4 linked regions of the Lepisosteus oculatus genome follow. The protein of the gene in region 1 purifies or fractionates together with the protein of each later gene. This does not show direct contact. Links are inferred from orthologs where the notes say so. Each region holds a gene or a part of one and is shown on either strand. Other genes may lie near its edges. The genes, in order: bag2, dnajb4, hsf2 and sgta.

Region 1 (6,826 bases):
GGAATGTATATGATGCCATCATGCTATGAAATCTTAATTCTTCAGGAGAGTGTTATGTTAAACTCTTATAGATTAGTGAGTGTATAATAGTCGTTATGTTAGCTCTACAGTAACAATAGCACAGGCAGGTTTAGTTGCCATTTGAGGTTTTTGGAAGGTCGACTTTCTGCTGATCCATAATCCTTATGGTTTTTCCTGTGTTGTCCACATTTCGGATCAGAGTCTCCAGCCTTCTCTTGATTTTCTTCTGGTCCTCCAAGGCACAGCTGATGACTATGGTCTGGAACTTCTGATCCACAGGACCCAGGGGTGCCTCAGTGATACAGGCTGCATGCAGAGACATCAGGCGCTTTCTGGCACCGTCCAAGTCATCCAGAACTTTGGAGGCGATCTCATCAATCTCAGACGTCGCCTTCCTCAGAGCTTCCTGCTGCTGGGGGTTACGGATGGTTTCCACGGAAACCTCGACAGTCAGGGTTCGACCAAGCAGGCGGTCTGCGGTCAACGTCAGCTCCTCCCGTTCCCCTGAAAATGGGAAAAAGGGGTCTCTAGAATGAAGACACGGTGTGTGCAGCACAAACAAGATCCGAGGTACACAATGGACAGCTTCACTGATTGACTGATTCTAGGCTGAATTCACTAAAACTGTGCCCTCCTGATTTATTCATTCCTCTGTTGAAAACGGAACAACAAACATCATAAGAAATAATTGTTGATTGTATCTTGTTACAAATATCACTAAAAATGACTTTTCTTTACTTTTTTCAGCAGGAAACTGTCTATTCAGTGTGTGATATTCTTTGTTCCTATTTAAACAGGGGAATTATTAAATCTGGAAGCTACAAAGACAGTTCCTTTATCTCGCACCCTATTGCACTGCTGTCGGTTCAAATGAACATTTTTGATCATCGGATTTTACCAGACTGCAATGGATGGGTTTAACTAGGGTCTAAGAGGACCCCACAATCAAAGAGAATATATATATGTATCTACAGTACATGAAAAATCGATGTTCTTAAAAAAGTGGATCTGCTCTGATAGCACAGTGGATCTGTTGACATGTAGATCTGCCTGCAATATTTTAACAAATAGTAGATTTCTTTGAAAACTAATCACAGACTTCGGCTTGATGTTATATCTAAATTGGGGCATCTGAGAGACTGCTTGAGCAGGATGTCTTGTAGCCAAACGAGGTTAAAGAAACCCTGCTCCAGACTATGTATGCTGCACATGGAAAGGGCGCAGGAAATAAGATCCACGGTTTTCACAGACCTTGTCAGTCTTCACCTGTGTGACAGCTGTCCGTGACCTACAGTGTGACACTCCTCTCACTCACCATCACTGATGGTTCGCATCTCCTGGCTGTTCTTCACAGACTGAATCATTTCCAGCAAACTTTCCTTCTCCTGCTCCATCGCAGTCGCTGCCTCTCGTAAAGCTTCCACTCTGACAGAAGACAACAATGTTTAGTCTGTTTTACTTCATGAAAGAATCGACTGGCCTTAGTAACACATTTTACATTTAATGCTGAAAAACTACACCAATGGGTTTGCATTTTTTCCATTTGAGATCGGCCTATTTAAACAATGCTATTATATTACAGAACAAACTTAGGTTGTGAATATTGGATATGCCTGAGGAAACCAGATGGTTATATTCTTGTTGCAGTTAAGAATTTGTTTCAAATTTAAGTAAAGTAGGATCATTATGTACAAATATATCAACTGCCAAGTGGTGTAAAAATATTTATACGTAGTGTACAGCTAGATCCAGGACAATTATCTCTGCCTCAAAATGTTCTGGACAAAAATCAGAAAACACGTGAACTACATTTCCAAAGAAATACATCCTGCGGTTCTGTAATCTCCTTGTAAAATGACACTCATGTGAGGAATGTGAACCTACTGTACGGTACGTGTTGAACTGCAGCTGTTTGGAAGAAACGGACAGGTCTAGGATTTAAACAGCCAATAAGTTAAATGTTCCGAGCAGTAAAATCACAAGGCAGTGTTGACGAACAGCAGGTTTTCGTATGAAAGTGTGAAGTGGATTGCGCTGAAGCGCAGCAGCCCCGAGAATCCCCAAAAGGGGCTATTTTTAATTTCCCAAGACGGCACGTGGGAGTCGACCCCCCCTTGTCCACCTGTTTTTCATACAATACAAAAATTGAAATATTTGCAAACGAGCTTCAAAACAACAAAGTGTGCCGTTGTTTTCAGATACAATGTATCTCTGAAGACGAGACTAAGCGACAGGACAAGAATGCGGTCTTGGAAACAAGGTGCCAGAGCCCACGAACACAAGAAAGCGGCTCTAAAAAAAACTGAAATACAATCCAGTCAAGACGAGCGAACTTCGGCCGCTGTTCTTTTCATTTAAAACTTTTAAAAATGTTTAAAGTTTTCTAAAACCTCTCCCACCCCAAACATTACCTGAGCTCTAGCTGATCCAGGCTCTCAAGCAGTTGTCCCGATCGATCCGCCATGGACAAGGATCTGCTGAACTTGCTGTTCCTCTCACTTTCATTCATTTTGGCGAGGATCTTAGCTTGAGCCATGGTGCCTGGAAATGCCGATTCCCCGGGAGAGTCGCAGCTCCTTAACCCACTGCTCTCCGATCTTCCCTCTAGGGGCACCTTCTAGCAGTTTCGCTTGCAGCTCGCCGCTCGCAGGCGGCGCCCGTATGTCAACATTTCCAAACATGGGCCGGACCTTCCCCGCCGCCCTCTCCCGGGGAGCAGGCCGAGCGCTCGGCGCAGGGCGGGGGGCTCCAGCACAATCCACTGACCCCGACATCTCAGCCGGTCTCAACCCTGCACAGCCCCAGTTTTCCACGGGGTATCACAGACTGCGCCCTTTGTAGCCTCGGTACATTGTAGCCAAGTTGCCCGTGTGTCTTGTCGTGGATCATTTCAATCAAGCGCAGACGAACGACCATGACTCTCTATGAATTGGAAATATCCTATTTTGACCATTTATGGAACGGCCGCCTTTGAAAAACAGGCATACATATTAAAGCGGAACGACACTGACATTAACCTCCTGCGGTATCGGTGCTCACAGGCTAGCCCAGTATGATACTATAGCGCCCCCGTCAGACCACAGGCTAAATAGACAGGAGAAACCCGTTATATTTTTCATGACAATTACATGGTGATTTTAACATAACCAATTTCCTCATGTTACACTTTAATGTAATACATCACTCATGTAATGGCTTTAATGTTCACATTTTCTGCGCTTTGTCGTACCTCATTCTGTGCCGTTAAATCACACTACAGCATGCCAACATACAGTAGGGAGAAAAACTAGATTTTTTATATTTCTTCCAGCTTCACCTTCGTTTCTTTCAGATTTCATCGGGCACTGCACTCTACTAATATATGTACGCATATAGAGATGACGGCAGAAGCAGAACACGTCTCTGAACCTGTTTAACTTGCACTTGGTTCCTTTATGCACAAAGTGCACACAGGCTATTAATGAACCCGCAGTACTTTATCTGGAATTAGCATGCTTGCTTCCACACATTCCCAACCTGCATTATATAAAAAAAAACAGGACATACTGCTCACAGACCTAAATATATGAATTAAAAACAGCCTGTTCATGTTATAGCGCCAATACAACCTCAATGAAGAATGACAAGGATAAGATTTTATTCCCCCGTCATCTTCTGAATACGATCTGTCATTATTCATTTTACAGAAAAGATTTGGGGTTTTTTTTGCCTGCAGGTGTGTAAAGTATTAAAAATTAATGTATTAAGCAAACAGAGTTAAAGGCTACCTTTTGAAAAATGTCCTGTGCTGTTAAAAGTCCTACACCCAGAGGAAGAGTATTTGTATTTAATCACTGCTCCCACTCCTGAGAGGCCCAAACCGTACAGGTGCACCAGCACAGGTGGAGTCTGTCAGTTCAGACACTGCGGGTTGCAGTCCAAGCGATGTCTGACGATTGTGAGCCAGTTTCCCCAGACAGTGGCACACAACTGGTTCAGGGCTAAACTGGGTGAGTGTGCAGGCAGCTAAGGCATCCTCTGCCCACAGTGGAACAGCGGGCTGGCAGGGAGCTGTCAGGCATGATACCAGCCCTCCTGTAGGCATTTTCAGACTCCAAGTGTGAGGAGAGCGGAGCGTCTTCCCACTGTGCACTTCGAGGAAGTGTGCAGTCTTTACCACCACCACTGCACAGACATGAGGCGGGCTCTATGTGCTTTTATTTTTAAAAATCAAATTGATTCTTCTTAACTAAGAAAAACTAAAAATAGCGGGAAAACCATCTTCAGGAAATCGATCTTCATCTAAATTTACACATTTATACGCTTTATACCTGGAAAAAATAAAATATTTGCTCAATAATAAAACATGCTTAACCTTAATAATAGATTTGTATTTTTATTGAATAATGCTGACTTTAATTATTAACATTCCAACTTAAGAGTCATCAAATAATAATAAACACACATTGCTTTGCTTTTTTTTTTTAAACAGGAACCAGTATTACCAGTTTAAACATTATTCAGGTTCATGGGGGAAAAAAAAAGATCACTTAAAAGTCATCTTTGGATCAGAACTCCTGAAGGCTTCTAGTGATAGCTTCTTCGAGCTCTGCAGAGATAAGGGATAAAAATGAATTTAGCAATAGAGCATAATACACTTGAAAATCATAATGGACTCGGCAAACCTGTGAGCAACAACTGAAACAGAGCAAGTAAACTGAATGTGCATTTCTTTTTTTCAAATCAAAGTCAGATGTCAAGTGGCTAATATGGTCACTACTATACTGTACAACTTGGGAAAACAAAGCTTGCAATATCTATTGAAACTGATCTTTCATTTTACATTCCTAAGTACTGAAGCTCGTTTTGGCTGAGTTCAAGAGTCTCCCTGGATGAGACTCCACGCTTTCTACAGCTGGGTGGGCTGCAGCAATCTGCTTGCTACAACAGTGTCTGCACTGAGAATGTAAATCCACCAGTCAGAACAGATCAGGAACCACCTTACTACCATATTCTGCCACAAATACAGAAATGCTAGTATGCTGACACACTGCAGCTTGGCTTCACCCTGTTCTGATGGATTCTAATCAGAGATTCCGATTTTCAAGCAAAAATCATGTCCAAATCCAGGTGTAATTTATGTTTTTTTAAAATAATAGAATGAATATAGAATAAAACAAACATAAAACAATTAACATTTATACATTGTGTTTTACTTATTTATTTTAGAACAAAATACAAAAACAATGCTTTAATAGAAAGAAATCGTTTGGTCTCAATGTTCTTGCTTTTGTGACCATTACACAGAGTACAGGGGAAAACAACCATTTTAACCTCAAAACTGAAGACAGGAAAATCCCTTAACTCAAATAAACTCATATCAACAAACAGGTGGAAAAAAAAGCAAAAGCCTAAAATCTATTACTCACTGTAAACAAAAAAAGCATTACCGACATGATGATGAAAATTATTTTTTAAAGTCAGCTGAGTGTCAGGTTTGTAATGGTCTCAGGCAGGTGTCTGATTCTGGTCCTGGTGTCTCTTTCAGGTTTGTTAAAAAGTGTGTGTTAACCCCCCTAGTGGTTCTAGTCTTGTATGTTTTACACCTAAAATGCAGTTAGATCTTCATGGTGTGACACCGCAGGGGTAGGGGCCACCACTTGAGCTTGGACTGGTGTGTCCCATGCTCCAGACACGCCTCTTTGAGCTTGCTGGGGAACCTCTTCCACACGTATACACGCACTGTCCTCCGAGAGCGCTGCTCACACTGGCCGACAGACTCCACCACAACCACGGCCTGACGTCACCGAGCCCCTCGTTCACAGTGACCCTGGTGACACACGAGCTTGGGGCCTACAGCTCGCTTGCTCTTCAACCAGGCTGGGTCTCGCACACAGAGCCTGCAGCGCTCAGAACTCCGTCTCTCCCACCCCAAGTCTCTTCAGGGCACCGAGAGCCTGCTGTCCAGACAGCCCCTACTCTCTCCCTAGTACCCTGTATCACACCCAGCCCTCCAGCACTCACTACCTCGAACACACTTACACAGCGGACACCCCAACAGCTCTGCGCCCTGCAAGAGCAGCCTGCTGTCCCTTTAACTGTCACAGGGATCCCTAACTTTACAAAGCCTGCTGGATGGCAGAGATGATACAGACAAGAGCTAATTTTAGCCCTGCTCTGCATTCCAAGTATCTATACATTCAGTGTAAGGATGGCTTTCAAGTCTGATCCAAATGCACAGCTGGGGGACAAAGAAACAGGTGGAAAATCAAATTAAATTGGGTAAACCCCCCAAATAAGAATATCTCATATTAATCTGCCTCTTCGGTGCAAAGGTGACAATGGCAGATCATTCTCCTCAGCACACACACAGAACCCTGTTGTTTCAGTCAACCACATGCAAGAGGACATTGTTTCTGGTGTCTATTTCTCAGTTCTGTACTAGAGGTTTGCTGTGGGAACACTCAGTTAAAAACAGCACATCATCACTGGAACCCACTTTCAATACAAGCATTTACGGACTCATAATGCTAGTTTGTACTTATTTAAGTATATAATTAACAACAATAAAACGGGTAAACTGTATAGCAAAAACAAATGCTGTCTGCATTTTTAGTTTGTATCAGGGTTGGCCAACTCTGTTCCAGAAAAGTCACAGCCCTGGAGCTATTGATCAATTTAGGAAATTGACTTGCAAATTTATCTCTACTCTTAGAAGACTCTCACATTTTCATTCTGAAGTCTTAAAAACTATTAAACAACTCCTTGTTTTGATGTTAAATCAATTCTTGTCTTTGTTAATAATTGATCTAAGAATGACCTAGCC
Region 2 (7,299 bases), on another chromosome or scaffold:
GTCGCTCCGCGGGGCGGTGCTCCGAGCGGTGCACGGCCAACCGGGTGTGGGGCACTTCGGCGGTAAAAAAACCCTGCAGCGTCTCCGAGGCCATTTTTATTGGGGTCTTTGCCACCGGGACGTGGATCGGTACTGCCGAACGTGTGCGGTGTGCGTGGCGCAGAAGGGTCCCCCCGAGCGCTCTCGGGCCCCCCTCCAACAACACCAGGTGGGGGCTCCTATGGAGCGGGTGGGAGTGGACGTTTTGGGCCCGTTTCCGCGCACCGAGGCCGGGAACCGCTACGTCTTGGTGGCTATGGATTACTTTACGAAGTGGCCGGAGGCCTACGCCCTCCCGGACCAGAGTGCCCCCACGGTGGCCGATGCACTGCTGGAGGGGATGTTTGCCAGGCTGGGGGTGCCGGAGGAGTTACACAGTGACCAGGGGCGTAACTTCGAGTCCCAGGTCTTCGCCAGAGTGTGCCAGCGCCTGGGGATTACTAAGACGCGGACCACCCCGCTGCATCCCCAGAGCGACGGGTTGGTAGAGCGGTTTAATCGGACGCTCGCCACCCAGCTGGCCACCCTGGTGTCCCGGCACCAACGGGACTGGGACCGCCACCTCCCCCTTGCGCTCTGGGCGTATCGGACCGCGGTCCAGGAATCCACCGGGTGCACCCCGGCCTCGCTCATGCTGGGCCGGGAAATGCGAACACCGGTGGACCTGGTCTTCGGCCTGCCGCCCGGAGACGGGTCGGCACCGCCGGCTGGACCGGACTACGAGTGGGACCTGCGGCAGCGGATGCAGCGGGTGCACAGCTTTGCACGGACCCACCTGACACAGGCGGGGGTCCGGCAGAAGCGGTACTACGACCTGCGCTGCAGGGGGCCTGCCTTCCAGCCCGGGGACTCGGTTTGGGTGTACAACCCGCGGCGCCGCAAAGGCCTCAGTCCTAAGCTGGCGCCGTCGTGGGAGGGGCCCGCTGAGGTACTCGGGGTGGTGGGCGAGGTCTGCTACCGTGTCCGGTTGCGAACACGGGGGAGAGTGGTGGTCCTGCACCGAGACCGCCTGGCCCCCTACCGGGCCCGGGAGGAGGAGCCGTGTGGGGAGGCTCCAGAGGAGCAGCCGGGGCCGGAGCCGGCCGATAGTGGGGCGTCCGTGGATCGCCAGCCGTCACCGCGGCGCAGCGGCCGCTCACGCAGGGTTCCGCAGCAGTTGGCCGAATACGAGTACAGCCTGAGGGGGGTGTTCGACGTCGGCGAGACGCCAGACGCTTCAGGTGGGGGCAGTGTAACGCCCTCGCCTGGTGGTGAGGAGGAAGCGCCCCTAGGCGCTCGTAGTACCGCTGGGCATGCTGGGAGTGGTAGCCGGGAAGAGTCTGAGGGTCAGCACGATGACCAGCGGCTGACCCTGCCTGTGTAAATAATGTCCTAGTAATTCTAGTGCCCTGTGTAGTCCTGTAAAAGTAGAGTGTGTTGTTAGGTAATTACCACCCTAAATGTGTGTACGTGTTCGTCAGACTCCTCATGTTTGTGTAGATCCTGTGTTTGGTTTTGGTGTGGTTGTAAAATAAAGCCAGTGCTTGGTTAATCGCGTCTCCACTGTTCTTTAGTTCTGAGAAAGAACCTGCAATACGCTACAAAAGAAACATTAAAATAAAGAAACATTAAACCTCGCTGCAGTGAGCCACCAATTCTTTCATCACCTGCCGGGAGTGGCTGAAGACTTACTTTACTCCCAGAACACACTTCTGACCCTGGGAGGTAAAGACGCTCAAGTACTTCTACGATAAGAAGGCAAGTCGGGTATACTGTATATTACTGGACACAAGAGGAACACCAGTACGCGGGGAACAGTCTTTGGGGGGTGACGATGGAGATCTGGGAGCTACTGTCCTCCTATCTCGGACTTTATTCTGATTGATGGTCTTCGCCAGTACAAGGGGGGGAAACTACCCTCTTTCCCAGAGAAGACGAGACGCGTTTCCCCCAGATCCGAGAGAGCGGCGGCGAGATGTATGATCCAGCTACGCAAACCGCTACAGCTTTCCGCTCGGCCACCAGCAGCAGCACCAGCCAGCAAGCTCCAACATAACACCCCCGAAATAAACAGCCTGTGGGTCCCATTCCAGGGACCCCGGCCAGTTGTGTCCTTTTACTGTTGCTAAACAGGGTGGGATACACGCTCTGATCCTTCGGGATCATTCTACGACGTTCTCCTGACAGGATATTTTATTGCCGTGTTGTGCCTCCCCCCTTGAAAAACGGCAAAACCACATTAAATTGAAAAAAAAGCCGGTTTTCCTCCTGCTGTTGGCGAAGTGCGGTTTAATCAATGTTTCCGCTCTGCGGCGTTTTATCTTGTGCGGCTCAAATCAAGGGAAACGGACAGGCTTGGATGTAAAAGGAGAAACAAAACCCCCCCAAAAAAACTCCGAAAGTATTTCTAATCCTGAAATGCAATTAAAACGATCCGGTAACAACAAACCACACCGAAACGGGGAGGGAGTTGCGTTGGCAACATCTCCACATACGAGATATTTATATATATATAACCTCACCTTCTTCGCCAAACTGGTCGTAGATCTCTCTCTTCTTGGGGTCGCTAAGGACCTCGTACGCCTCCGCGATTTCCTTGAATTTCTCCTCCGCGTTCGCGGCCGTGTTTTTATCGGGGTGCCATTTCAGGGCTTGTTTGCGGTACGCCTTCTTGACGTCCTCGTCCGATGCCCCCCTCTGGATCCCCAAGATCTTGTAGTAGTCCTTCCCCATTTTCCGCGCAGCCCGGGAGCCCGCGATATCCTAAGGATATAAACCCGCTTTATAGCAGCCGCTGGCAGGCAGAGAGCGGTGGTGGACAGCAGATGCTAGCCGGGTGCTGCCGCTCTTGAAATCGGGGATATTCACTCTCCTCCAAGCCCTGTTTGTGTCTGTACAGCTTATTGCTTCGATACTTATGCCCTTGTGTTTGCTGGTGCGTCTCTCTCTCTCTCTCGGCGTGCTCCTTTAAATAGCCGCGTCTCTCTCCCCTATTGGTACTCGCCGGAACCCAGTGGCTCTTTCTAGAAAGTAGTAAGTGCTGATCATTGCACGTCATTTCCCATATAAAGCTTACTTTTTTAGAAAAGTCGTTCGCAGGGAGAAAAAATAAATTGATGTAGGCTATCCGAAGTTTTTTTTTTCTCTCCTTTAGGCAAAGGTTAGATTATTTCATCGTTTTGATTGACGGGTTTACCTGAACTCGAAACGCCGAAAGAAACGTTGACAAAGGCCCTCAGTGAACATGGGGGTTTGTAGGATCTCCCCTCGTTTGTGTGGGTCTCCCCCTGCAGTCCAAAACGTACTGGTCCCAGTCCCAGTCCAGCCTCCGACATGCTTAAAAGCTCCAGGGTCTGAGCGGTGGACCGCCATACGTCTGGAAACACCGGAGACTCATGTGAGGTTTTTGATGAAATAAACAACGGATCTGTTCAATTAAGAGAAAGGCACTCAGATTATGGTCCCCGATGACATAATTTAACACATCATATGCCCAGGTGATCCCAATGACACGGATCTTTAGCTATAGGTGATTTAAAGGTGGAGCCTTTCTACAGTAGCACAGTCCAGTCACAGAGGATATAAGTAAGATATTTGCACAGGTACAGTCTTAGGTGTCCCCGATCTCAAAAGATCAATCTACCCTTTGTGTAATCCGCCAATGAGCTGCTGAAAGGAAAAATCATTTAACGCATTCTTTAGGTTACTCAAGAGTGCCTACTCAGTCATGAGGTGGATGTGTAAACCCTGTATCTGGTGGGCTCACCTTTCCCATCCATATGTTAAAATGACAGCACCCCTAACAGGTAACTCAAGCCCACAACAGATTCTTCAACGCTGTGAAAATGTGCACTCTAAGCTTCTCTGACGGTGTCAAAGGTAGTCATGATCCCATCTTGACATCTGTATTTTAATTCCTGGTAACTGTTCCTCTCGTGAGCAGCAACCTAGGCTCAACATCATCACTCAGCAGCACGGCCAGCACGATTGACCATTTCATCTCCTCCACTGACATCGGCCCTGGATGTGTGGTTTCATTCGGGAAACAGCGAGTTTTGTTTTATTTTTCACTTCATTAAAAAAACAATCATGGATGAAGTTTTACAGTTACTACGGTACATGCATCCCAACATTTAAAAAAAAAACGCAAATTCTACATTTGTGGGTGAGTGATATATAGATTTTATGTGTTGCGTCCTAACATCATATCCTAACTTTATCTTAATAATAATAATAATAATAATAACAATAATAATAATAGTAAACTTTATTTTATAAAGCGCCTTTTAAGGTGGCTTCTCAAAGCGCTTTACAGGATGACAACAACAATAAATAAGAAGAATACACAAGATACAACACAGTTACAATATAGAGAGGAGACCGTGGATGGTGGTACTAGGAAAAGCAGAGGGGTGAAGAATGGAACCAGTTCAGTAAAGGCTTTTCTGAAGAAGAGGGTTTTAAACTAGGTCAACGTTTCTTCACATCCATAAGCTCTGCTGTTCTAAAAAAAAAACATATTATGTTTTGCAATTGCGACCTACTACTAAACGCAATGTTGTCTCGTTTGAACGCAATAAACATTTGTTTCCTCCATGGCGCTAACAGGCTTCCGTAGCCGGCCCTCACCTGGGAGACTCACCAGCAGGCTGCCCGGGACCTTCCCCAGTTCTCCACACAGTGCCCCCTGCCGTCCGATCGGGGCAAGAGCACTCGGTATTCACAGGGATCGCGTTGACTGAGCTGGACCTGGCTGCGGCACTGAAGACGAAAAATTGCTATTCAGCCTCTCCGAAGATGACTCAGCATCCGTCACCCAAAGGGTACGCTACACCTGCGCGATGAACAATAATTTTAATTTTTAATTTGCACGCCTTTTGCTACTCAGCATCTCGAGTGTTATGATGAGACATATCTCTAATGATAACTGTTATTTCCTTTGCGAAGCACGCAGCAGTTCCGCAGCCTGTTCCTTCGACTAGATGCCAATAGCGATGGTTTCATCGCCGTAGATGAGCTCCGCAAAGAAATGAAGAAAATCGGAGTTTCGGCCGCAGAGGAGAAGGCTCAGGTATGAATTGCTGAATGCCGACCTTGACACACGGTATTTTCCTGCCAGGTGTGAAGGTTAATCCCATGTCGTGTCTGCGCTTTTTAAATTGTGCCATTCCAGGCTATCCTAGGCGACTATGACCTGAATAACGACGGGCGTTTAGATTACGAGGAGTTCCTGACCTACATGATGGACAGGGAGAAGAAATGGAAAATAAACTTTCAAGTCCTTGACAAAAACAACTGCGGTGAGTTGGTGACGTTTGAACGATTCTGTACAGGTTGTGCAAAAGTGAAGAAAGTGTAATTTGCCGGCGGGGGGTTGGAGTTAAAATTGTTGGTGCTTTAGTCAAAACCAGAGGGGCACAACTGCAGTCCAGATCTCTTTAAACGTCCATCTGTCCATTTTCTAACCACTTCATCCAATTCTGGGTTCCTGGAGAGCCAGGGCATATCCCAGCAAGCTACTTAATTAAATATCAATCATCATGTATCTCGCCATCCGTCAATACAGTTGTGTTATTTCCTGCTGCAGTGGGATCTGGTATTTATTACCCCTTCGTCCTAGAAAAAAAAAAGACCCTTTCCAAAGGACACAGTTCGTTCCAAGGGCAAACAGCAAAAGGAAGATTTCTGTCTTGAGATTTTTGCTCAACTGTTTTGTATTCATATTCATTTCTTCTCTGTGACTAGGGGTCATTGACCAGGAAGATATCATAGATTTGTTTAAGGAGTTAGGAGTGGTCATTTCAAAGCAACATGCAAAGAAAATAATACAAATGTAAGATCTGTTGCCACTTTTTAATATTTGACTGCTATAAAAGATTTATTGCCTTTGATCCATCAGTTACGAAGCATAGAACACATGTTTGGTGCTAAAGGCGTCTTTTGTGTTACAAAAATTCTCCTGTATGCACATAAAACCTGGGGAAAAATATGTTTCATAAAGCTTATGTAATATTGTAATGCTATTGTAATGCCATAATCAATGTCTATGGAAATGTAAACATAATACAGCAATTACAGCACATAACCGAACACCTTAATGACATATAATATAGTTTATATAATAAATAAAGTTTAAACGTACAGTTACAGTAGTTGCCATAGCAGAATAAAACAATATATTTTATGTGCATAGTGCCACAGAATAAACGCTTTTAATAAACAACAACCTGTAGTCATGTAGTAGCAACACTTGAGGAGATTTCCTTCATGGTTTCTCATGGTTTCTCATAGGATGGACTGTGACAACTCCATGACAGTGGACTGGAATGAATTTCTGCAGCACATCATTTTAAACCCCGCTGAGGACATTGCAGAGCTTGTTTCTTCTTGGAAGCGCAGCATGGTAAGGGCTACATTGTGAAGCACCTTGTTCCTAATCGCAAAGGAAGTCAGTGTAGTCTTACTTTGCCTAATTATACTGTACATACAGTATATAGTGTATATGCAAGTGGACTGTGAAAACTGCACTGTGGAGCAATTCAGTTTGGCATACAGTACATACAAACACAGCCATGGACGAGCTTCTATCCTGCCATGAACAAAGAAGGTATTCACCAGAGGTATGACAACAGACATGCAGAGAACTCTATATCCTAGGACCCATCCTCTGTGGGACTGCTGCTCTTGTTAGTATCTCATGTGTACTGTCACTGGAATGTGTTTTTAGTTCAGTATACACTGTATCTTCACCAAATGTGATTGGTTCACCTCGTCCATTTTTCCTCATCAATTTGTCTCCACAGGCAAAAATAACTTCATAAGCATTCTGAATGCAGTCCAGTAGTCTTCTTGTGTCATGTCCCACCCTGCTGTCCCTTTGTGCCTCCTGCTGCCACAGTTGTTCCCCTCCCACAGGCCAGAGATCCCGAGTCTCCAGGATAGAGATGGACTGCGATGGCTGACGTATGTAAAATCTCGTGCCGTGTCAACAGGTGTTCGACGTGGGAGAAAGCCGGCCTCTGCCCATGGACTTCACACGGGAGGAGACAGACTCTGGAGCCTGGAAGAAGTACATTTTAGCTGGAGGAATAGCAGACGCGGTGTCCAGGACCGTCACTGCGCCAATCGATCGAATAAAAATTCAGCTTCAGGTAATTGAGTGCGATGCCTTTCAGTGCACGCACACAGATGCGCTGCATTGAGCTGCAGTGACGCACCGTGTGTTTTTCTTGTTGCGTGGGGTGTACTGAATTAGTTGACAGGCCAGTGCCTTTGGACTCC
Region 3 (6,973 bases), on another chromosome or scaffold:
AAAAAACGCCTGTGATTTTTGGTCTCTCTTAAACATTAAATTTAAAGCATTACCACCAACGCAGCATGCTCTTGTCACATCTCAGAAGCTCAGCAAGGCTGAACCTGGCCAGCACTGGACTGAGAAACCTCTTGCTGTTGTTTTGAAGTGTTTGTAAGTGTTGTCTGTGGACCAGTATGTCTCTTCCCTCTGGAGCTGAAATTTCAAACCAGTGACCCAGTATGGAAATCCATCACCTCAACTCAAGTATTCTCTCAAACAATCTGTTTTCTGTACATTCGATATTTAATCTGTTATACTGTGTGTTCTGGCACAGAGAAATATATATATATAATAATAATAATAATTATAATAATTGCTTACACTTATATAGCGCTTTTTTGGACACTCCACTCAAAGCGCTTTACAGGTAATGGGGATCCCCTCCACCACCACCAATGTGCAGCCCCACCTGGATGATGCGACGGCAGCCATAGTGCGCCAGAACGCTCACCACACATCAGCTCTCAGTGGGGAGGAGAGCAGAGTAATGTAGCCAATTCATAGAGGGGGATTATTAGGAGGCCATGATGGGGTAAAGGCCAGGGGGGAAATTTGGCCAGGACACCGGGGTTACACCCCTACTCTTTTCGAGAAGCGCCCTGGGATTTTTAATGACCACAGAGAGTCAGGACCTCGGTTTTACGTCTCATCCGAAGGACGGCGCCTGTTTACAGTATAGTGTCCCCTTCACTGTACTGGAGCATTAGGACCCACATGAGCCGCAGGGTGAGCGCCCCCTACTGACCCCACTAACACCTCTTCCAGCAGCAACCTTAGTTTTTCCCAGGAGGTCTCCCATCCAGGTACTGACCAGGCTCACACCTGCTGAGCTTCAGTGGGCTGCCAGTTGTGAGTTGCAGGGTGATATTTTATTAAAATGCAAATATATACACACTTAGTCCAAACACACACATTACTTTGAATGTTTACTCCCTGCAATTCCAGAAGTAATCTTTTATAGTCAGCTTTATTGGAAGCCAAAAGAAACCTGGAATGTGGTATGCAACATCAGACAGTATGCTACAGTATGTATGTGTCCATTATTGTTGTTGCTCCTCTCAAGTACTCCAACAAAGTACTTAAGGAAGATCTACCTTTTGTAACCCCACGTTGACCACAGTATCTCTTAGGATCCTCTTGCCTTGTTTCTGATTCTTCTTCCACACCCTTACAGGTATCAGGAACAACACTTATGTCCAAGTCAGACTTCAGTTCTTCAGTCTGTTTCCGACAGCAGGTGTTTGAATTGGCTGTGAACGGAAAGTGTGCTGTTGGTACCGATCTCGACAATCCAAACACTGACAACAACAGCTGCAAGCTCACCTGCCTTTGCTCGGTGTTCCTGCTGCGCAGTACTGTATATCCCAGCTGCAGTGCTCCTGAGAATGAAGTCTCCAATAACCACCACTTCTCTTTTTGCATGCTATAGTACTAGCAGGATGTGTAGTTGGTATCAGTACACCAGGGCCTTCTGGTGCAGCTCACAAAGTCCAAAGTGCATTTTGGATTCCCACTGTTAAGATACACATTTCTATATTTGTAGAACACAAAACTATTAAATCCCTTCTGAAAATGCAGTCGTTACTCTAGACAACTATCTTCCATATGAGATTGTATATGTGTTCATTCTACAAGTTAATTTCCTATATTTTATTTTCTAAATATTACTATCTTTTGAAGCTTTCCAGAATTACTTTGGTATCCCATACCACTCATATACTGTAGCCTAGCATTTTCTATTTCCATAAAACCACAGTTAGCATTATACTGCCTCAACTCCAGAGACTGTAAGTCATAGACAATAAGTGACAGAAAATGTCAGCGGAATCGGCCTATGCTGCAGATCATTGTTAAAACACAGTTTCAAAGCAATGCATTACATGGAAATGTTTGTGAGTTATCAATATTTTTCATGTGTACTAAAAAGAGAAAGGTATCTTACATCCATAACACCATATTTTCTAACATTGAGGGTGTTGGGCATGAATACTTCACATCATTAAGGTCCTAAGACCAATGTCGACACAATGCTGTTTAACTTCCCCTGTCATCGTTGCAGGTGACCTGAAGTCCACAAGTTCCACCGGTGTGATATTGGATATAGTGCTGACAGGCATCAGTCATCTCACACTCTTACCTCTGAGACTTTTGCGGGGATTTCAGGTTTTATGGGAAGTGGTTACTATTACACTTACGCTCGACTTGTGAGCCTCTTCATAAATCTGCATCAATGCTTTAGGCTCTTCAGATGGAAAGACACGAAAGTCTGAATAAAACATTTAACTGTCAAACTGAATCACAAAGCCTTGTAGCATCATCTCAGACCCACTTATGCTGTTTTCGGTGAAGTATAAAAATAAAATCAACTTCTCACCAGGAAAAGTCATCATAATTGGGATTGTTTTCTAAACGCTTGGTCTGCACTAGAAACTACGTTTTTCTGTAGTCCCTAAACATGCTACTGCATTACTGCTCGCTTTAGAAACGGTCTAGACATTTTGATGTATTACAAAATAAGTAGTCTACAGTAGTTTTACATTTGAACAGGTAAAGGTTTATTCCATGCTGAAAGAAATAGCAAAGACACATGACGTTTCGGCTGCGGAGCCTTCTTCAGGTGTGATATGCCTTACACATGTGTAATATTTTCATTGCAAGGACAGTATTCATTTAAACACGATTACCTTTCTTAACTTCCATAGCTGTGTAATTGACATTGATGCACCCCACCCGTACTTTAAATCACCACGGTCTGAGGTGTTTGCCAAATTAAAAACAAAACCCCGCTAGCCGGAGTCCGCCTTCACTAGACGCTGAGGTCTGTGTGTGGAAGCAGTCAGTCCCACCAGGGCAGGAGAAACACTACCCGGCTGTCTCGGCAGTGCTGTGACCCACAATGCAGCAGCACTCTGCACACACAGACAGCAGGCTCGCGTGCCTCCGCCTGCGTCATCAACACCACCTGCCTTCTTTATCCAATCAGCAAGCGGCCGCGGGGCAGGCCCCTCCCTCCGACACGTGAGGCTCGCAAACGCGCCGCGCCATTGGCTGTGCTGGCCGGCCGCGCAGAGCGCATTGTTGTTACACGTGAGGAGCCTTACGTAAGGTAGCCGGGGCACCAATCGGCAGCCGCGGTTCGGGCCGGAAGCTGTGCTCGGGGTTTTCTCCCCTCCCCCCTCCGCTGCGGGCCCGGAGTACTCGCTTGAGCCCTGTGCTCGGAAGCAGCGCTGCGCTCCCCTCGTCCGCCCGCACCATGAAGCAGAACTCCAGCGTCCCCGCCTTCCTCACCAAGCTGTGGACCCTGGTCGAGGACCCGGACACGAACGAGTTCATCTGCTGGAGCCAGGTGAGTCCGGGCCCGCGTCCGTCTGGGCAGCCTGACAGAGAGAGAGAGACTGAGCGGGGGAGCAGGGGGCTGGAGGGAGCCCGGTCTAAACTGGTCGCAGTCGAAAAGAAAGAAAAAAACGTAATGAGGCGGCTTCGGTTCGGCCTCGGACCTCTCGCTGTTTCCCGAGGGACGGCCGGCTCTTGTATCCTCCGCGCCGTTTCCAAGGCGACCGCGTTACGTGGCTGTTCTGCGAAGGCCCGCGGCGCCGTGCTCCGAGCAAGCGCTGCCGGCTGCTTTGCCACTCGAGGCGAAGGGCCGAGCTCAATGTGGCAGTTGGCCGGGAGGTCAGATAGGGGGCCCCATGATGAAGGCGCGGGGGCGCTCTGTGGTGCCGGGCCGGAGCGGTACCGGTACCGGTCCCGCTGGCTCGGGGAGGTAGCTCACCCTGCAGCCGCCGGGGGAGGAGCGGGTCTGCGTTCAGGAGGGAAGTGGGTGACGTTTGTTGCCGAGTTGAGCAGCGCTACGTTGGACAGGAATGCAAGCAGGCTGTTCTTGTTCCCTGAGCTGACCTCCGAAGAATTAAAGAGCGGATTTATTTCTGTTCATTTCAGTGCATAGCATGCTGGGAGTGGGGAGGTTTGATGCAACATCTTAAATTTGATTGGAAGTGTTTGGACCATAAATGTACCCTCCACAGCCAGCTTCCTGATGGGGTGTGTGCGCCACACTAGAACACCTACCCTTGCTATTGCCTCAAATTCAGCTTGGAGAAGTCTGTCCTTGCCTCTTGACCCCCCAGTCTCTTGCAGGACTTCGGCGGACGAGAGCATCAAAGGTTTATATGTAAGGAATTACACGGTGGGGGAAAAAAAACACCTGTGTGTTTTGGGGCACTAGCGTAGAGAATGAGGGTCTCCTTTTCTAGAAGCTGCTCGGTGCCATCGGTAATATAGCTGCAGCTGCTCATGCTCTGGGAAAGTGTGTGCGCCTGCATTCTGAATATGGATTAATGTAAACTCGGAGAAATAAAATGCCATGGATACATGATGTCAAATCATGGTAGTTAATACACTTCAAGACATGCATAGGATATTTTCTTATGATGGGCTGATGTAATCTGCAGTTTAGCTGTTCAAGGTGTATTTTGGCATTTGATTTTGAATGAAGTGTAAAAATATTTTTAAGCTCTGTGGGAACTTGATGCATGAAAACTGCTTCCCCACGGCAATGTGATTTTTGTAATCCATCATCTTTCTGACCAGATTTTCGTTAAAGTAAGCATGGACTTTCTTGTTTGTTTTAAAGGAAGGTAACAGCTTTCTTGTGCTGGATGAACAGCGATTTGCCAAAGAGATTCTCCCCAAATTCTTCAAGCATAACAATATGGCAAGTTTCGTCAGGCAGCTCAACATGTGTAAGTACTTTTCACGGTCACAGATGTTTTTCTTACGTTAGGTTGTCAATACTGGAATTAGTTCAGGTGGGGAGCTGTGTCGGCATGCGTGGGCTGCAAAGGAACAAGTAACAGGCTTATTCCCTGCTGAAAAGAAAGAAAACAACGTTTCAGCCGTGGGGCCTTCTTCGGGTGTGGGAGACAGAATTAGACAAGTAAAGTATTCCCTGTGAGTATGTGCACTGTACATGTAAACAAATCATGAGGTCACTCAAGGAACAAGTAATTCCAGGCTGAAAGTAGAAAGGATCAACCCACACTTCTTCAGGTTCGTAGACATTTAGGAGTTAATTCATAATGATTTCTTTGCTGAGATGTAACCCGCTGCTGAAAGCATGATTGTGTACAGTATGTCGTGAAGAAGGCTGAAATGTTCCTCCTTTATTTGTTCCTTTGCAGCAGCACATGCTGACACAGCTCCCCCCTCAAATGCCATTTTACGCTGCTGGCATCTCTGTCAGAGTTGGCCTTTTTGGGGAACGTGCACTGACCGCAACCTGCTCCCTAGGCGTACAAGTTGAGTCCTTTAGTCCGGTTCACAGACACACCTCTGAGTTTCATTGCCAGGGGGGCACATGACTGGACCCCAGCAGGCTCATGGGTTTGACATGACCTGGGTAATTCTCAGCTTGCTCGTGCTCACAATGCCTCTAGGAATTGCCCGGGCACCTGTGAGCCAGCCTGTACCTTAATGCTGGAAGTTGGGGGAGAAAAATGAGTAAAAGCAAAAGGGAATAGGCAAACCAGAAGTGAAAATAGTGTTTTTTTTGTTAAAAGTAAAGAGCAGGGGAACTGAAACCCCTTCAGAGTAGGATGGAAGGAGCAACAAAGTAGCAGATCTGGAGACCTGGCTTCCTCAGTGTTTGTCTCGGAGTGAAAGTCAAGAACCCATGTCCAGTTATGGAAAACCAATACGGACATCATTACTTGAGGCTGTCGAAGAGGGAAAGCATATGGCTGAAGGATATCAAGATGCATGGGGATTGTTGAGTACCCTGTATTATCTGAGGAATTATGTCAAGTCACAGTTCTGGAAAAAGATCTGTTTTAATATTCATCAATTATTTTCAAAACATGTATTATTTAAACTTTTATTTATGTAGTTAATTTTGCTTTAGTTGGGGGTTTTGAATTGAGTGAGTGATTTGAGGGGTATTTTTTTGCACTATCATACATGCATATCATACATATCAAGAGGGTTTTAAAAATTCAAAAATATCTACATGATTTTAATAAAGATTTCTGGAGAGCAATGGGGAAAAAAAAGAGGAAATAAATGTGAACCAGGATTAAAAACATGTTAAATTAGATTCATAGGTCAGAAAATAATCAATTATGTTAAAGAGAGCTAAAATATTGCATTTTATGTCAGTGCAGAGGGCTTTTAAAGAGGACAAACTGTCTTGCAGATGGATTTCGCAAGGTAATGCACATGGACACTGGCATCGTAAAACAAGAACGTGATGGACCAGTTGAATTCCAGCATCCATTCTTCAAACATGGGCAGGATGACCTGCTAGAAAACATCAAAAGAAAGGTAAGAACAAGGGCTTACACTTTGAACTTATTGCCTTAAAATGTGAGAAAATAGCCTCACAAAGCTCAAAACTGCTTTAAGAAAATTGAAATAATGTGCACGATGGGTTTCTAATTTTACACCCTGCCACCTTTAGAATCAAATGGCCTACTTTTGTTTGTAATTAACTTTAGTCTTTGCTAAGTACAAAATCCAATTAAGGTTCTGCTTATGTAGCCCATAGCTCCTGTTTAATTTTAATTATTTTCAGGCAAAACTTCATTTGTCCCCTCTAAGTAATCTAACAGTTTTCTTGTGTTCCTCAGATATGGCCAAATCCACCAGAGGTTTATTTGTGAATGGATACCATTCTAAAAGGTCATTCACAATCCATACCTGCAAATTGAAGCAAATGTATGTAAAGCAGGAAGAGCATTAGAATTGTTGAGTGAACTTCAGTTAACTTAGTTTTATCTTAAAGTTGTGATTTTTTTTCTTTTTGTAGGTTTCGTCAGCCAGGCCTGAGGAAAATAAAATACGTCACGAAGACCTCTCTAAGATCCTGTCCAACGTTCAGAGTGTTCATGGCAAACAAGAAAGTCTTGATTCGAGACTCTCAACACTGAAAAGGTAA
Region 4 (7,058 bases), on another chromosome or scaffold:
GTGTTATATCAGAAAAAGAGTGCAGCTGTATTTTACGTAAAACTCAATTGCAGGCGATCAATTGCAATCCTGCTCCTGGAGAGCCTCAAACCAGTACATTTTACAGCTCAATCTTAAACCACCAATTTCAAAAGAGTATGAACAATTAAATGGCAATCAGTTAAGTAGGCTATTTGTCAAATTATTTAACAATCATTTGGGATGAAATGTGAGTGTCCTCCAGCCCCGAGGGCCAGAGTATTTTAAATTGAAGCAATCACTAGCTTAAGTCATTAATAATTTACAGGTACTGTTTCCAAACGCCAGAGACAGTTTGTAAGTCTGGCTGGACCGGGGCTCTCCTGGACTAGGGTAGTCTGTACAGCAGGACGAGTTACAATCCAAAGTGGAGATGACACCTGTCACGTGTGACCCTGTCCCAGCTTCTCTTGGCATGGCCAATCATGTGCCACCCCCAAGTGGCACCTTCTCACACTGTAACCAGAACTGAAAACACCTGTCTGTGACAGCCTCGTCTCCACCAGCACTCACAAGAGCCCAGGAGCAAAAGGCTCCCAGTGAAAGCAGATTCAGCACAGAGGAGGGCACTGTCCTGTAATGCTGAAAACAGTGCTGGCTATTGATGTCTACTTATTGCAAAGTAATTATTGCACTTATTGCCATTTCCACTGGGAATGTGCTGCTGTAAGCAAAGGTCACTAAAATTCTGCTACAGCCTAAAATGAAAACTGAATGTCAGTACCGGTTTATGAAATTGTCGTCTTACCTTCCAGGCTTTCCTGTGCATCTGAAGATAAGTCCCCCGAGTTGAGCTGGTCATGGAGAAACTGAATGATGGAGAATGCGATACGCTTTGTGTCTGCCATTTGGTAGCTGAGGGGGTAGGCTGGGGCAGTAGGTAAGGTTTCTGGAGATTCTGGAAAGGAACGGTCATGTTTAAACGTTTGAGAAGAATAGGGCTTCAAGTCCCCAATGAGTGTTTTTAGGAAGGCAGATAACCCAGAGAGCATCAACTGACCCAGCTGTATCAAGGACACCTGCACAGCTCAGGAGGTTACCCCTGTGATAAATGGAGAAGTCTTGCTCTCTCAGTTCTCTTACAGATCTGTCTTTCATGTGCCAATAGCCCTGTGAGCTCAATCAACTCCACTGCTCCACTCTTTCCAATTAACAGGTGTCTCAGTCATTATGGTTGTGGCACCATTTGATAAATACGCACACAAAAAGAAGCAAGTCTAAATATAAAGATTACTACTGCTCTTCATTTAGCTACTGCTGTTGGACTCTAAGGTGATTCCTAAACTTGCAATAAGGTATTACAACCCCACATTCTTCTGGAGAAACTGAATCCATTAACTTCTGCATTACACTATTTGATTAAATGGGAAGCCTCCCCACTCTCACTTAAAGCACCCGATCCAGTGTAGAAAGTGATATTCAGTGGGGACAGGTCATCAGTTATCAGGTTAAAAATAACGACCAGCAGGAGGAGTATGCTGCAGATGCTTGGTGCCTATGTGCAAGCCAGCCGTGCTGCAAATTGTACAAAAACAAAGAGCCTTTAAAATAAACAGGGCATTGACTTGGCGTTACCACACACCAACTTTATCATTTGCATTACAATTTTTTTTTGTCTATTGACGCATACCGTGCTATGCACATTTTGTGCGCGACCGCTTATTCTGGAGTTGATATTATCCAATTAACTCCTCCAGAAACAGCACAGTTCCTCGCAGATGAATGGGAGCATGAGTAAACAAGGAGCAAACCAGCCCGGGCCAGGTTCAGGAGACCAGAACTGTGGCTCAGAGTGACCCCCCCACCCTTCAAGAACAGGCCTGCTCTCGCGTCTAGAAATGAAGACCACGACGGAGCAGCTGTGGATCGTCAGCAGCAAAGCACGGCAGCTCGCACTAACATTCCTTATGTAAATCCTCCTAATATGCGTATGAAATAAAATGGCAGACTATTCACACTGCTGGCGAAAATGAATTTCTTTTTATCAATAGCTTGCACTGGACGTAGCAATACACGAAGTAACGTGTTTTATTTGGGGACCTTCATACCAGCAACCTACTTTTGCTTTTCGGATCTGGCATGTTCCGGAAAAAGGTGACTCACGTGTTATGTCACGGTAGGTGAACGTGTACGCGCTGAGCTGATCTAATAGGTCGTCCCAAGCTTTCACGTACCTAGTACACACAGACAGCCTGTGGCTGGATTATAATACACTGCACTTGAAAATGGCATAATTAACTTTACTATTGATTAATCGTAACCGCACCCTGTGAAGCAACTTCAAACACTGAATACTGACCCAAACCTACACTGAGTACACTCAGTAAGGCCGCTCTTGACTCCCAATTCTGCAGATCTGTGTCCCCGAACCTGTGCATCATATGAGACTACTGCTGTACGAAAACTGTCTCGTAAAACTACAGAACAGACAAATTCTCAACAAGTCCCCGGCGACCGCAGTTGTCAGTCTGCCCAGTTCTTTAAATCCGTACTTTTTTTTAATCGATGAAAGAGTTCTGCCCGGCGCCGAGCGAGCGATCAGAGGAGACTACGCGCTTGTGCCGAGTGAATCCGACCGGGCGGTCTGATGATCTAGCCGAACCAGAGACGCCGTCCTTCCCACCTGTCTGACCAAACCTCGGCCGGCTGTGAGTTTTGTCAAACAGAAGATTCCAGCACTGCCGCCGCTCCTCCGTGCGGCCTTACCGTAAATCTGGGACAACGCAGCGTACAGCAAAACTGGCCGCTTCGCTGATGACGCCGCCGCTACCAACCCCCTTTCTGCAAGGTGCCCCCAGAGCCCCTGCGATCGCTGTCTGCCGGAGGGAGGGGGGGGCTGCCCCGCTCGGGGCAACGGCGTTTACCGTGCGGGTTTTAATGAAAACGGCAGCAAGAAAAGTTGGGTCTCACCTCCCGGTTCCGGCTCTCCGCAGTTTCCTCGCGCTGCGCTGCGTGACGGCCGTCTGCGTCCTCTGACGTCACGCGTCGGACGTGCCTACACCCCCCCCCCCCCCAGAACGATTATATTCGAACAAATAGATGTTTTCGGCAAAACAAAAAACAGAAAGCATGTGGCGCGGGTGTGTGACTGTATTAAATAATTGCTAGTTTTTAATTATGTTTTAGTTTCTTTATTGATTTCGCTGGGTATTTTTTTTCACCTTGTCCCACAACAGTTAAAGTGCCTTTGCCGTGGAATCGCGAAACAGAGGCCATCGGGGTCGACCATTCAGAGTCGCCGCTGACGTGTGCTGTTATTTTTGTTTGCCGTAACCTGCAACCGAGGCTCAGGGCGACCCGCCGCACTGTTGTGAAATTAATTCAACAGACGGGACAGTCAGGAGTCTGGGACGGAAGTACCGTTAATAAAACAACGCCCCCCGAAGCGGAAGCGACCGCCGGTTTCCAGGGGAACGAGTGATTGACAGGATGGCCAGCCAACCACCGAGTTTCTGCTGCTCAGCCCGGTAGTAGCGTGGTTCAGTGTGAGCAGACACCATTCTGACCCGGAGCTCTTCAGCAGAGTATTTGCAGGGCGAATTTACTTCATCCTTGTGTACTATGGCCCCGACAGGTGAGTTATTAAACCTTTTTTTTTGTCAACCTACGTCCCCATAAGTACCCACAGTTTAAATTTCTTTGATGAGCTCCTCTCATTTGCAAGATGAATTGCTTTTTGTATACTGGGTGCTGCTCAGAAATCGGACCGTACTATGTTACTTTACGGGGGGTTACGTAATTAAAACGTTAAAATGTATTTTTTTTTATGGAGTGCAGTTTTTCTTCAAATAACTTCAATATTTTCCACTGAAAAGTCCGGCAAAGGCGGCGTGTGTCTAGCTGGGATAACGTGCTCAATCATTTGCTCTCGCAAAGTGCAGTCGTGAACTTGAGGGCACCCCTCCCAGACACAGTCTGTTTACACGAGTTTCACTGCGGGCAGTCCCAGCTCCCCGCTCTCCCGAGCAGATAAGTGGGAATCGCGTTTAGGTATTTGATTACAGGAGTAACACGGGAGTCAACTTGAGGAGGCAAGCTATAGGTTCGAGTAGTTGGTAGATTTCCTTCTTTTCGAGGTGGATTTGTTTTGAAAGAAGAATTTCCCAAAACTTCAGTCCGTGGTCGTGGATGAAACTCGCTTGCCCCCCTAATCGTCGGCTCGAGTAATCTTTTCGCGGATGTCACTGTGTCAGTGTATCTGTCAGTGTCAGGTGGACGTGATTTAAGAGTGGTGATTTAGGTGACACTCCTAACCTAAGCTACGAAGAAGCTCTACACAGATTGTCTTGCAAAAAAGGGACCCATATATTCAATTGCATCAGTCACGTCTTTTTCTGTAGCCACCTGCACTACAGTACAGTATAACAAAATTATATCCAGAAAGGAGTTACTCGAAAAACTGACATTCAGTAGATCTGAAACTCCGTTTGCTTATGTAGTGTTTGAAACTATTAAACATTTTCCATAATTGCAAAAACAGATAATAATTAATAAGTGTTATTTTGAACAGTTAAAAACACCACCTGTATAATGTCCCTCTAAGAGAGTTCAGGCATGTTCTTTGTTTTGAAAGGAATTTCTCTGGGTGTCAGTCAGTCAGCATATTCCTCTCCGGTCACACAAAGGGACATGTGCTGTGGGTGGTTATCATTGGGCTTTTGGAGTGCCCTCTGTAAACCTCTCCTGGCACTAAGAAAAGTTTAATTTAAGCTACTGTTGATGGTTAAATATGGTTCTCCAGTAGCCTGAGCTTGTGAACAAAACATTTAGCAATCGTGTTTTAACGTTGTCTCACAAAAGAGATGACGGGTTGTTAGCCAACCTGTAGACTTCAGCATCTCACACAACTTCAGGGCTGTTTGGTTTGGTGAGGATTGATTGGCTACATTACCCACGTCACACTTCTTCATTTCTGGTAAGCATCATGGATCAGGAGCACATCGCAGACATGAGCCACTGCATGTCACCCTGTACAATTTCAGTGCCACAGCTTTAATTGTTTTGTTTTCCAGAATTTCCTGAAAGTTTTAATATTTTTTTCTGCATAAAAAGGAGTTGTGTTGTGTGCTTTTAAATTTTGTCTCGTGCGATTTTTGTCATTGGGGGCCACAGCCTTTGCCCATTTAGCCCATCCAGAAGTGGTTTTCTTGCCCTGCAGTAGCCACACACACGCTAGTGCTGTGAACAGTACTCATCATTCTAAGCAGCTGCAGTTGGAGTTTGTAACTGTTCTGTTGGAACAGGTCAAAGGTCATATCAAAGGTGACACACCATGCCCCCATAATAAACCCGGAGTCCATCAGACAAAGGTACAGTTGTGCAGGTTTCAGCATTTTACTGTACAAATAAAACACATCAGCAGGTTATCAAAAGACACGGGATGATTACTGGTGCACTGTCTATTTGGCTGCAGAAGAGTGGGGGAGCAAGAGTTTATCATCGAGCACATGTTCGGACGTATCCGAGCCCAAGAAACAACCATGACAGTCAGGAGTCTGAAATACTTCTTGAAGCGAGGACCACGCCGGTACACTGCTCTGCTCCGCCTAGCCGGAGCGAATTGTTTTGTCACAGCTGGTAGGCAAGAAGGGGAAACACTGTAACCCCCCCCAGTGCCCCTGTCCGCAAGCGTCCTGCTGCCCTGACGTTGTCCTGACCCGGCGTTAGCCAGCGCGGTGCAGGGCCTGACCCATCCCCCGCCCCCTCGGCAGGTGAGGTCGTGATCGCCAGCGCCCCGCGGGTCTGCGCCGAGAACCGCCTGCGCTGGGACCTGAGCCCCGAGCAGATCCGGCAGCTGGCCGACGAGCTGATCGAGAGGACCAAGCGCGTGTACGACGCCGTGGGGGCTCTGGAGCTGGAGGCCGTCACCTACGACAACGCCCTGAAAGCGCTGGCCGACGTGGAGGTGGAGTACACAGGTAAGGACGCGTCCTGCTGCGTTTCCGCTCGTGGCGGCACACGGACACGTGGGCTGGTTTTCCGATCAGAACGTGAGCTCACCTCTTCGGTCCTGGAGAGCCACGCTTCGGCCGGTTTCGAGAAACAGTTGGAATCATGCCTCCCTGAGCCAATAACGGATTCAGTTAGGCCACTAATTGGTCTTTAAAAATGAAAATCCGTGTGTCTCTAAAGCTGTGTGCTCACTCCAGGTCCAGATACCAGGATATCCGGATAAGGGATTTGGAAAGGGAATTGTAAGCTGGTGTTGTTAACTCTTGAAGGTTCCTCACGTGAATCTAAACAGAAGGAACAGATGATGACCTAGGATCTGAACAACCTAAAAGGAGTAAACAAATCTCATGCCATTTGGTATAAAATTCCTTAAAAATACCTTCACTCTTACAAGTGCTGAGAAAAACCAACTACGTCTTGCTGAAGTAGGTTAGTTTCCTGCCCATGACTGTTTTAAAGTGTATTAAATGTATGCTGTCATGACATGCAGTAATTACAAGCACTGAAGTCATAAATGTCAGTAAAAGGGATAAATGGCATCAGATTTCTAAAATCTGTTTGCAGATTTCTTTAGCGACTTTACTTGACTAAAATAAAAACGCTCGTTTGCATAAGCAGATAAGTCCAGATAAGCCCACAGCAACATCACTTAACACACAGGCCACTACAGAGCCTTTGTTAAAGGCCTGAGCTGGCAGGAATGCAGCAGGCAATGGTATAGAGTGCTCAGCATTTTCTACATAAAGAGTAGCTGACACTTTGCCTGTGTTTGACAACAAATTGTATATAGGTATTGTTAAAGGAACTGGGAAGTATATACATTTTTTTCTGAGGTTTTGATTGTTTGGAGGCCTGGCGTAAATCTGTTGTTGGGGGGGGGGGGGGAGAATCTCCTTTGTCCGAGTGCTGACATTCCCCTTTTTTGTTAGGTTATTCCTGCTGAAAAGAGAAGACAGGAAACGAAACACTCCACAGCCAAAACGTGTTTCCTATCTTCTCTTTTCAAATAAACCTTTACTTGTTCCTTTGTGGTTTATTATGCATGAAGTCTTTATTTGTCCAATTAGCCTGAAGGTGGTGTCCTAAGG

Evidence for each region.
Region 2: the proteins of bag2 (region 1) and dnajb4 purify together in Homo sapiens (affinity purification with mass spectrometry; 4 studies listed by BioGRID and IntAct, with this or other methods). This does not show direct contact. The link is inferred for Lepisosteus oculatus from reciprocal best matches to the Homo sapiens genes BAG2 and DNAJB4.
Region 3: the proteins of bag2 (region 1) and hsf2 purify together in Homo sapiens (affinity purification with mass spectrometry; 4 studies listed by BioGRID and IntAct, with this or other methods). This does not show direct contact. The link is inferred for Lepisosteus oculatus from reciprocal best matches to the Homo sapiens genes BAG2 and HSF2.
Region 4: the proteins of bag2 (region 1) and sgta purify together in Homo sapiens (affinity purification with mass spectrometry; 3 studies listed by BioGRID and IntAct, with this or other methods). This does not show direct contact. The link is inferred for Lepisosteus oculatus from reciprocal best matches to the Homo sapiens genes BAG2 and SGTA.

Annotation. Positions count from the first base shown.
Region 1 is NC_090712.1:19,975,822-19,982,647, reverse strand, and holds the start of bag2 (BAG family molecular chaperone regulator 2), read right to left. Parts: upstream 3,014-6,826; 5' UTR 2,558-3,013; coding exon 2,433-2,557; intron 1,447-2,432; coding exon 1,337-1,446; intron 526-1,336; coding exon 131-525; 3' UTR 1-130. Other genes in the region: E3 SUMO-protein ligase ZNF451, read right to left, coding at 4,569-4,609. UniProt on the Homo sapiens protein: Co-chaperone for HSP70 and HSC70 chaperone proteins. Acts as a nucleotide-exchange factor (NEF) promoting the release of ADP from the HSP70 and HSC70 proteins thereby triggering client/substrate protein release.
Region 2 is NC_090704.1:3,705,855-3,713,153, forward strand, and holds the start of dnajb4 (dnaJ homolog subfamily B member 4), read right to left. Parts: upstream 3,011-7,299; 5' UTR 2,752-3,010; coding exon 2,541-2,751; intron 1-2,540. Other genes in the region: slc25a24l (solute carrier family 25 member 24, like), read left to right, coding at 4,816-4,841, 4,966-5,089, 5,192-5,318, 5,764-5,851, 6,310-6,421, 7,011-7,169. UniProt on the Homo sapiens protein: Probable chaperone. Stimulates ATP hydrolysis and the folding of unfolded proteins mediated by HSPA1A/B (in vitro).
Region 3 is NC_090697.1:1,720,933-1,727,905, forward strand, and holds the start of hsf2 (heat shock factor protein 2), read left to right. Parts: upstream 1-3,967; 5' UTR 3,968-4,078; coding exon 4,079-4,213; intron 4,214-4,675; coding exon 4,676-4,784; intron 4,785-6,232; coding exon 6,233-6,360; intron 6,361-6,844; coding exon 6,845-6,969; intron 6,970-6,973. UniProt on the Homo sapiens protein: DNA-binding protein that specifically binds heat shock promoter elements (HSE) and activates transcription. In higher eukaryotes, HSF is unable to bind to the HSE unless the cells are heat shocked.
Region 4 is NC_090724.1:1,363,254-1,370,311, forward strand, and holds the start of sgta (small glutamine-rich tetratricopeptide repeat-containing protein alpha), read right to left. Parts: upstream 3,014-7,058; 5' UTR 2,929-3,013; intron 2,905-2,928; exon of another isoform or gene 2,725-2,904; intron 2,665-2,724; exon of another isoform or gene 2,511-2,664; intron 917-2,510; 5' UTR 867-916; coding exon 767-866; intron 1-766. Other genes in the region: thop1 (thimet oligopeptidase), read left to right, coding at 3,580-3,592, 5,730-5,936. UniProt on the Homo sapiens protein: Co-chaperone that binds misfolded and hydrophobic patches-containing client proteins in the cytosol. Mediates their targeting to the endoplasmic reticulum but also regulates their sorting to the proteasome when targeting fails.